Linked DNA regions of Nothobranchius furzeri. The protein of the gene in region 1 purifies or fractionates together with the protein of each later gene. This does not show direct contact. Links are inferred from orthologs where the notes say so. Each region holds a gene or a part of one and is shown on either strand. Other genes may lie near its edges.

Evidence for each region. The genes of interacting proteins can lie anywhere in the genome.
Region 2: the proteins of cep43 (region 1) and cep350 purify together in Homo sapiens (affinity purification with mass spectrometry; 6 studies listed by BioGRID and IntAct, counting the BioPlex papers as one, with this or other methods). This does not show direct contact. The link is inferred for Nothobranchius furzeri from reciprocal best matches to the Homo sapiens genes CEP43 and CEP350.

The regions. Positions count from the first base shown.
Region 1 is NC_091742.1:15,825,157-15,828,821, reverse strand, and holds the end of cep43 (centrosomal protein 43), read left to right. Parts: intron 1-224; coding exon 225-296; intron 297-1,377; coding exon 1,378-1,493; intron 1,494-1,616; coding exon 1,617-1,682; intron 1,683-1,979; coding exon 1,980-2,013; intron 2,014-2,410; coding exon 2,411-2,498; intron 2,499-2,585; coding exon 2,586-2,666; 3' UTR 2,667-2,957; downstream 2,958-3,665. UniProt on the Homo sapiens protein: Required for anchoring microtubules to the centrosomes. Required for ciliation.
Region 2 is NC_091748.1:57,218,390-57,222,381, forward strand, and holds part of cep350 (centrosome-associated protein 350), read left to right. Parts: intron 1-1,411; coding exon 1,412-1,540; intron 1,541-3,992. UniProt on the Homo sapiens protein: Plays an essential role in centriole growth by stabilizing a procentriolar seed composed of at least, SASS6 and CPAP. Required for anchoring microtubules to the centrosomes and for the integrity of the microtubule network.

The sequences.
Region 1 (3,665 bases):
TGCGTTGAGAGGAAGTGGGTCATTGGGACACAGAACTGAGCTGGTTCTGGTCTACATGCAGGTTTAATAAAACATAAACCAGCAGCTTTGATCCTTGGGTTTTAGGTTAATATCTTTGTTTTATTAGCAATAAAACACACCATGCTCAATGACTCTTGTTTTCACCTCCTCCTGCTCCTCGTTCTCCTTCTGCTCCTCCTCTTCCTGCTCCTCTCTGGTCTCAGTCTCTCGGTCCTTGCTGGGGACCCAGAGTTGGAGCGAGACAATCCTGTCTCAGATCACAGCTCAGAGCTCAGGTGAGCTGCAGGTGTACCCGTCTGTCCTCCTGAACATCATCTGATATTTATTATCATCCTCCACCCAGATGCAATGTGTGTGTGTGTGTATTTGCATGCATGCATGTGTGTGTGTGTATTTGCATGCATGCGTGTGTGTGTGTGGGGGGGGGTGTATTTGCATGCATGCGTGTGTGTATTTGCATGCATGCATATGTGTGTGTATTTGCATGAGTGTGTGTGTGTGTGTGTGTGTGTGTGTGTGTGTGTGTGTGTGTGTGTGTGTGTGTGTGTATTTGCATGCGTGCATGAACGTGTGTGTATTTGCATGCATGCGTGTGTGTGTATATTTTTATGTGTGTGTGTATTTGCATGCATGCATGTGTGTGTGTCTATTTGCATGCATGCATGCGTGTGTGTATTTGCATGCATGCGTGTGTGTGTGTATTTGTATGCATGCACGTGTGTGAATTTGCATGTGTGTGTGTGTGTATTTGCATGAGTGTGTGTGTATTTGCATGCATGTGTTTGTGTATTTGCATGCATATATGCGTGTGTGTATTTGCATGCATGCATGCGTGCGTGTGTGTGTTTGCATGCATGCACGTGTGTGTATTTGCATGTGTGTGTATTTGCATGCATGCGTGTGTGTGTGTGTAATTGCATGCATGCAAGTGTGTGTATTTGCATGCGTGCATGCAAGTGTGTGTATTTGCATGCATGCGTGTGTGTGTGTGAGTGTGTGTCTGTGTGTGTGTTTGCATGCATGCATGCGTGTGTGTGTGTGTGTGTGTGTGTCTGTGTCTGTGTGTGTGTGTCTGTGTCTGTGTGTGTGTTTGCATGCATGCATGCATGTGTGTGTGTGTGTGTATTTTAGATCCTAAAGGCCGTCTGGTCTTAATATAACAGGTTTCAAACCCACTTCCTCTAAAAACGGACAGAAATTAGGATTATAACATAATCCATGAGGAAAGTCATCTAGATGAAGGTTCCAGCAGCAGCTTCGTGTTCTGGATTGGGTCCTCAGATGTTTCTCCTCTGATGGAAGTTTTTAGTAGAAATGAACGTCTGATTGGGTCAGAACCACCGGTTCTCCTCACAGGAAGGTGGAAACGCCCGGGGTCAGGGGGAGTCCAGTCGGGTCTCAGTCCGAGGGCTGCAGACTAGCGGGAGGAGGAGGAGGGAGCAGTGGATCGGAGCCGAGCCGCAGCAGAAACGGTTTGTTTCTTCTCTGTTACCATGGATACTGATTATGTCTCTAAATAATCGGAGTTGTTTTCCTCCTACATCTGAGTTTTAATCTGTGATCAAACCATAAAATAATCTGTTTCTGTTCTGCAGGGGCATCAAACTCCAGAGAGAAAGGCTTCCGTGGGCTGAGCGACCGAACTGGGTCTCTGCATCTAGGTGGGAATCAGGTTGTTTGGAATCAGAAACGTCCTCTGGACCTATTCAATTTCAATTCAGCTCAGTTTATTTCTAAAGCGCCAAACCACGACCAGAGTCGTCTCAGGGACCTTCACACAGTAAACGATCCAACACAGGTCAGGTCATTAACCCAGCAGGTTGCATCGAGTCACTGACTAGTGTCAGAGTATTTACAGCAATCCTTATACTAAGCAAACATGCAGCGACAGTGGAGAGGAAATGGAGTCTTTGTGTTCCTGTTTGTGAAACTTAAACTCAGGTTTCCTGTTTCCACAGATGATGACGTTGAATATGACGATGATTTCAACAGGTGAGATTTCCAGGTGACCTGCTGCTGCGTGTGCTGGTCGGTTAATCCTCACAGATTTGATTTCCTTAGCTTTTTATTTCATTTATTCATGCAAGATTTTCTCGTTCAGCTCTAAACCGCCAGTTTTATTCAAAATAATTAGAAATGAGTTTTTCCTGTCCAAATGGACTCTAAATACCGGGTGAGATCAAATCGGAATCATCGGAATTACTGTGAATATTTGGTACATTATTTCTGGAAACTTCCATATTTGGGTCCAAATTAGTTTACAGGTCTTATAAAAGCTCTAAAGGTTTTGATTTATAAGCATCAGAGTTATAACAATCTAAAGAGGTGGTTTTACTGAGCTCTGAACCAGCCGATCGGCTTGAATTAGAACTAAGTTTGTGTGTTCCAGCCACCGGTCGGACCTCTCCAACGGAGAGCTGAGCATCGGCGAGGAGATTGAGGAAGTTTCCATCGAAGGTCCTGAAAACAGCGACAAGGTGACGAAAAACTCCTGAGCAGCAGATCTGAGTTCAGTTTAAACTGCTGGTTTCAACCCGCTGTTGTTTGTTTGTGTGTCGATGCAGTTTGATGAGTCCACCCAGGACCTGAGCGTCTCTCAGCTCAGCCAGAGCAACGTCGCCGATTATATGGAGGACGTGTCCTGAATCTCCCATCATGCACCTCTTCCTGTACAGATTTATAGAAACGACTAACGAGCTTTGTGCTGCTGAGAGTGATGATGATGATGATGAAAGATTTGTTTCTATTTATCTGGAACTTTCTGAGGAAACACGAGTCGTCGTAACAACAGGAAGTAACTTTTCAGTCTAAAAGGAGAAGAAGAAATTTTCTTCATCACATTTGAATGGGTTCAGCTCTGTGATGCTGTACGGAAAGCAGTTTTACTCCATATTAAACTAAGATGTGAATAATGAAAATAAATTAACTGAATCAAGTCTTTTTTATTGTAGTATCAACTAAATGATCACATGTAGCTTATCAAAGTAAAAGTCTTTTAACATCATTTAAACAATAAAACAAGTTACCTTTCCACCTCATCCCCCCAGAGCAAACAGGAACACCCTCCTCGAGTAATAAAGACCATTCAGCCTCATGCATTCATCGGGTCAAAGTTAAACAACCCTCCTGATGCGGAACAAACATCTGGACATTTCTCATTAAAACGCTGGAAACATCTGGATTTATCCAATAGATCCAAACATTTTACAATAAAACAAAAGCAGCTGTTTTAGCAAACGATCTTAAAATATGTCGCACCTCACAGAGGAACTAGACATGGATGCCCACTTTCACCCGCACCACTAACACTTTAACACCTAAAATGAGTTTATATGCTGATGATGTACTCCTGTTCCTCCAAAACCCAAACAAATGCGGTGAACTCTCCACAATCTCGAATTATACCATAAACTGGAATAAATAAACCTCTAACAGTAAATGGAGACACAGCAGATTACATCCTACTACTAACACGGTCACATACTTAGGAGTGGAACTCTAAAGTCACATTTCGACAGTCGCAGTTCGACTCCCCTACTGGAAACGATAAGAGATGACTTAAACAGATGTATGACCGTACCTTCATCATTTATAGGATGGATTAACACCAAAACTGACCTACGTATTCACAGTGATCCCAACCA
Region 2 (3,992 bases), on another chromosome or scaffold:
TGCTGTCAACGCCCTCCTCATCGATGGCACAGTGCCATGCGTAATCTAATGTGTAGACCCCATCATCTCTGTGGTTGTGTCCACGTCTCCTTATTTGTACTTCTTCTTTAATCCATCTTTTAAATTTCTGTTGTTGGATGTTTATGATCCTTGTTCTGTCCCAGTCCATTATGTGATTCTCCCTTGTGCACCGTTCTGTTACGGCTGATTTCTTTATTGTACTTTCTGCTTCTTGTTTAGCTGCTCTTGTTTGTCTTTGGTTTGTTTCCATGCCACACTCCTTTCTGTGTTCTATTGTTCGTGTGTTGAATTGGCGTCTGGTTTCCCCCGTGCGTGTTTTATTTCAGAGTTTGCATCGTATTTTGTAAATGACTCCACATTAGGGCTGGGCGATATCATGGCCCAAAATCAATATCACGATATATTGAGGATTTCACCTCGATAACGATAACTGGACGATAACTACAGGTATGCGCAGAAACAAAAGTTGTTCACGAGATGGAGCTGTCACATGTATTACGTTGAGTCACATTTTTACGTGACTCAAGGTGGTTCAGCTTCTTAAAGGGACGTGAACGCTGCCAACCTACACACATCTTTTCATTTTTGTATCAAATTTATTGACATGGAAAAAATGATCTCAATAAGAGTCAGAAATTTAAATAACGATCCATTTTCGATTTATTGCCCAACCCTGTTCCACATTGTTGTCCTGCTGATATCTTGTCCTTTGGGTGTACTAGTCTTTTTCTAACTGTTGTGTATGGTTTTGTTGGTGTGCTTATGTTGTGTTTTTTCATTGTTGCTATAATTATTATTTTCTTCTATACCTTTGATGTAAGGAAGAGTTATCACTGGTTTTGGTTCTTGTTTTTCTGGATTTCTGGTTTCTTTGTTTTGGCTGTTCTTTTCTTTCTGTTGTTGTTTGTTGTTTTCCTTAGTTTATTGCCCATGTCGGGTATCCACAGTTCTTTAAAACGTTTTGTATACGTTGGTCCTCCTGTTTACAGTCCCGTTCTTCTGTTATTATGTTCGCTGGGTGGTATAACGTGTGCTATATATATTGGTTTCCTGTATGCGTTTATAATCAGGGTCCCGCTGCTCTGTCTAGTTATTTTCATGTCCAAAACAACCCCATTTTTGTGTTTTAAAAGAACCAAGCAAGACATTCTCTTTCTGCTCTGGATTCTCTTTCAAGTTCAGAAGTTACAGATCATACTTTGTGTTTTTATTGAAGCTTGCAGTAGAAGAGTTTATGTGCTGAGTCCTAAAGTGCTTAGACAAGTTTGGATCTTTCTGTGTCAGAAATGCATAGATTTAATTACATAGCAACTGTTGCATTGTTCCATGTGTGTACCATTATTTATTTGTTCTTCTGTGTGGGTTACTTTATGCATTTTTTTACGTTTAGAAAGCAGCAGGTCAAAGCATCAGCAGCTAAAAGAACAAAGAACAGAAAGGTCCACTGAGAGGAGGCCACCCAAACTCATCAGGAAGGTCCACAAACTTCCTACTGCCTCAGATGTGAATGCTAAACCAGGTATAACAATCTTTTTCATGTGAAGGCCAATCTTAAAGCTGAAACAGGAAAAAATTGAATATGGTGCAAAAGTTGATTGATTTCAGTAATTCAACTTAACAGGGGAAATTAATATGAGACAGACTCATTAGCTCCAAAGCCAGATATTTCAAGCCATTATTTGTTATTATAATTTATTTAAATTATAATTGGAATGATTATGGCTTACAGCTTATGAAAACCCCACATTTAAAATTTCTATTAAAATATTGTTAAAAGGTAAAATTGTTTAGACTCAGTGTCTCTCACCAGCTAATGAATCCAAAACTCCTGCAAAGGGTTCCTGAGCCTTTAGACGGTCTCTCAGTCTAAGAAGAATTATTGAAATTAATTGACTTATGCACCATATTCTCATTTTGTAAGGCAGCGTTATTTGTATAGCACATTTCCATTAGCAAGAGCAAAAATATTAAAATTAACATGACAACACAATTAAAATACAAGAGCAGTTACAGTGCAGAAGATGCAGGCCATTCAAAGGCTGGTGAATACATGAAAGTTTTTAATCTTGATTTAAAAGTGGAGCACATTTGAGGTAATAAAGAAGTTGATTCCTAGCCTGGCCAGCCAGACTCTCTGTTTAATTCTGCACAGAGACTGAGTCTGGTGACTCTCAGCAAAGAGCACCATGAAGGTGTGGCCAGTGGAAGTGGGATCCAGAGGTTTTGTAGCTGGTTCCATAATGAGGCTTTTGAAGGAAGTAGGAATCAGAGGCCAGGCCCAAAGGAGGGCAATCAAAGAGCTTGCCACTGCAGCGGAACAGAGCAGTCACTGGCTGTGGCTGAAACGAAGGGATGCAATTTGGACTGCCAAATGATGACGTGGTGCTTCCGAGTGACACACACCTGTGTCTGATCAACCAGGGGTGGGCCAACCCCAGCAGAGGGTGTATTGTGATAAGTGGCCGAAACACCCAATGAGGTCGGGGCACACAACTGAAGAAGTGTTGCGCCGGTTTCACCACAAAATCTATGACAAAGCTCACTCCACTGAGTTTTCATTCAATTGTTGTGTTGAAAGGGATCTTAAACAACTAGTCCTAGGAAAATTCTTGATTGACATCCTTTGTATCTAAGTTTTTAGGTTGGTGTATGACTCGATCCATATCTTGGCCTAATAAAAACTGTTTGCATTTATGCTAATCATCATATAATTCCATCTGTATTTGAGTCCCAAGTTTTATCATTCACTTCAAACAATGGATTTAAGAGTCTCAAGTCATGTGCCTGGTTTTATAAACAGCCAGTGATCACATCAGCCCTGAAGAGTTGCAGGAATGTTTGTAGAGACATATTGTCTGAACAAAACCACTGTTGTATGAGTAGAAAGGGTTGGACTTCCCGCAGGCACAAGTTGGTCTTAAGTCTTACTGTTTGCACTTCACACCCTAAAGCTCCATCCCGAGGGTATAATTGCAAAAGGTCTCTGAAGAAAATGGATGACATTACAGGTTGTGTGGCTAGCATGGTAATACTATGCATTAGACATCCTGCAGCAATGACTTGGGTATTGAAATTTTTAAAATGTATCAAGATTTTTTAAAATTGTTTCCTGCCTTCCTTCATATACGGACCTGCAAACGCTACTTTAACCAGAGATAATGTTCTGCATTAGTCAATGTTAAAACTCTAATCTCATAAGAAATGTCTAGTATGCGTGACATGCTGGTTGTAACCAATAAGTGACACACTGACACTCACACAAGAGAATCACAGCCACATACTTCTGAAACCTGTCTGTAGCAGGACTCAGAACAACAGAAGAAAACCAAATACATGAACAAAATTATTAAAGACAATGTTGTTTTATATTTATAACAAGGAAAACCAATCAACATTTTATTATGACTTTTTGTGCAATTAAATGTTTGTTGAATCTGGAAGAGCATACTAGTTCAGTCCGTCTCTAAAACTATTTCGATCTTTAGTTTTAGTGGCTGATCTTTTGGCAGTCTCTGCTGTTTCCTCCGATCACACAGGAATGCACATAATTTCACCAGAGTAGCATGTTTTGCATTAGACTCCTACAGTGGCTCCACACTTACTTATCTCACAGATAAACGCTGTTTGAATGTCTGTAAAGTATCCACAATAATTTATGATTCTCCTGCAGTCAACAAACATGCTGCTGTGTGCAGCCATGTCCAGAGCCTATAAGTAAATAATGTAACCGTTTATGAAAATGTTCTGAAACTGTACTTGCATTCCATGCTTTCGTTCTTTTTTAAACACAGAAACAGTTTTGTTTACCTGTTTTGTAGCTACAGTTTCGCAGACGGCTGCCGGCTTCTTCAGGCTGACGCTGATGGTGGCGCGTCACTTCCTTCTCCGTTTATCTGTGGGCAGCAGAGGACGTTGTCGCCCTCTACTGCCCGCTCTCCCCTCTCCGACGATGCAGTCCCATGCGTGGTCCA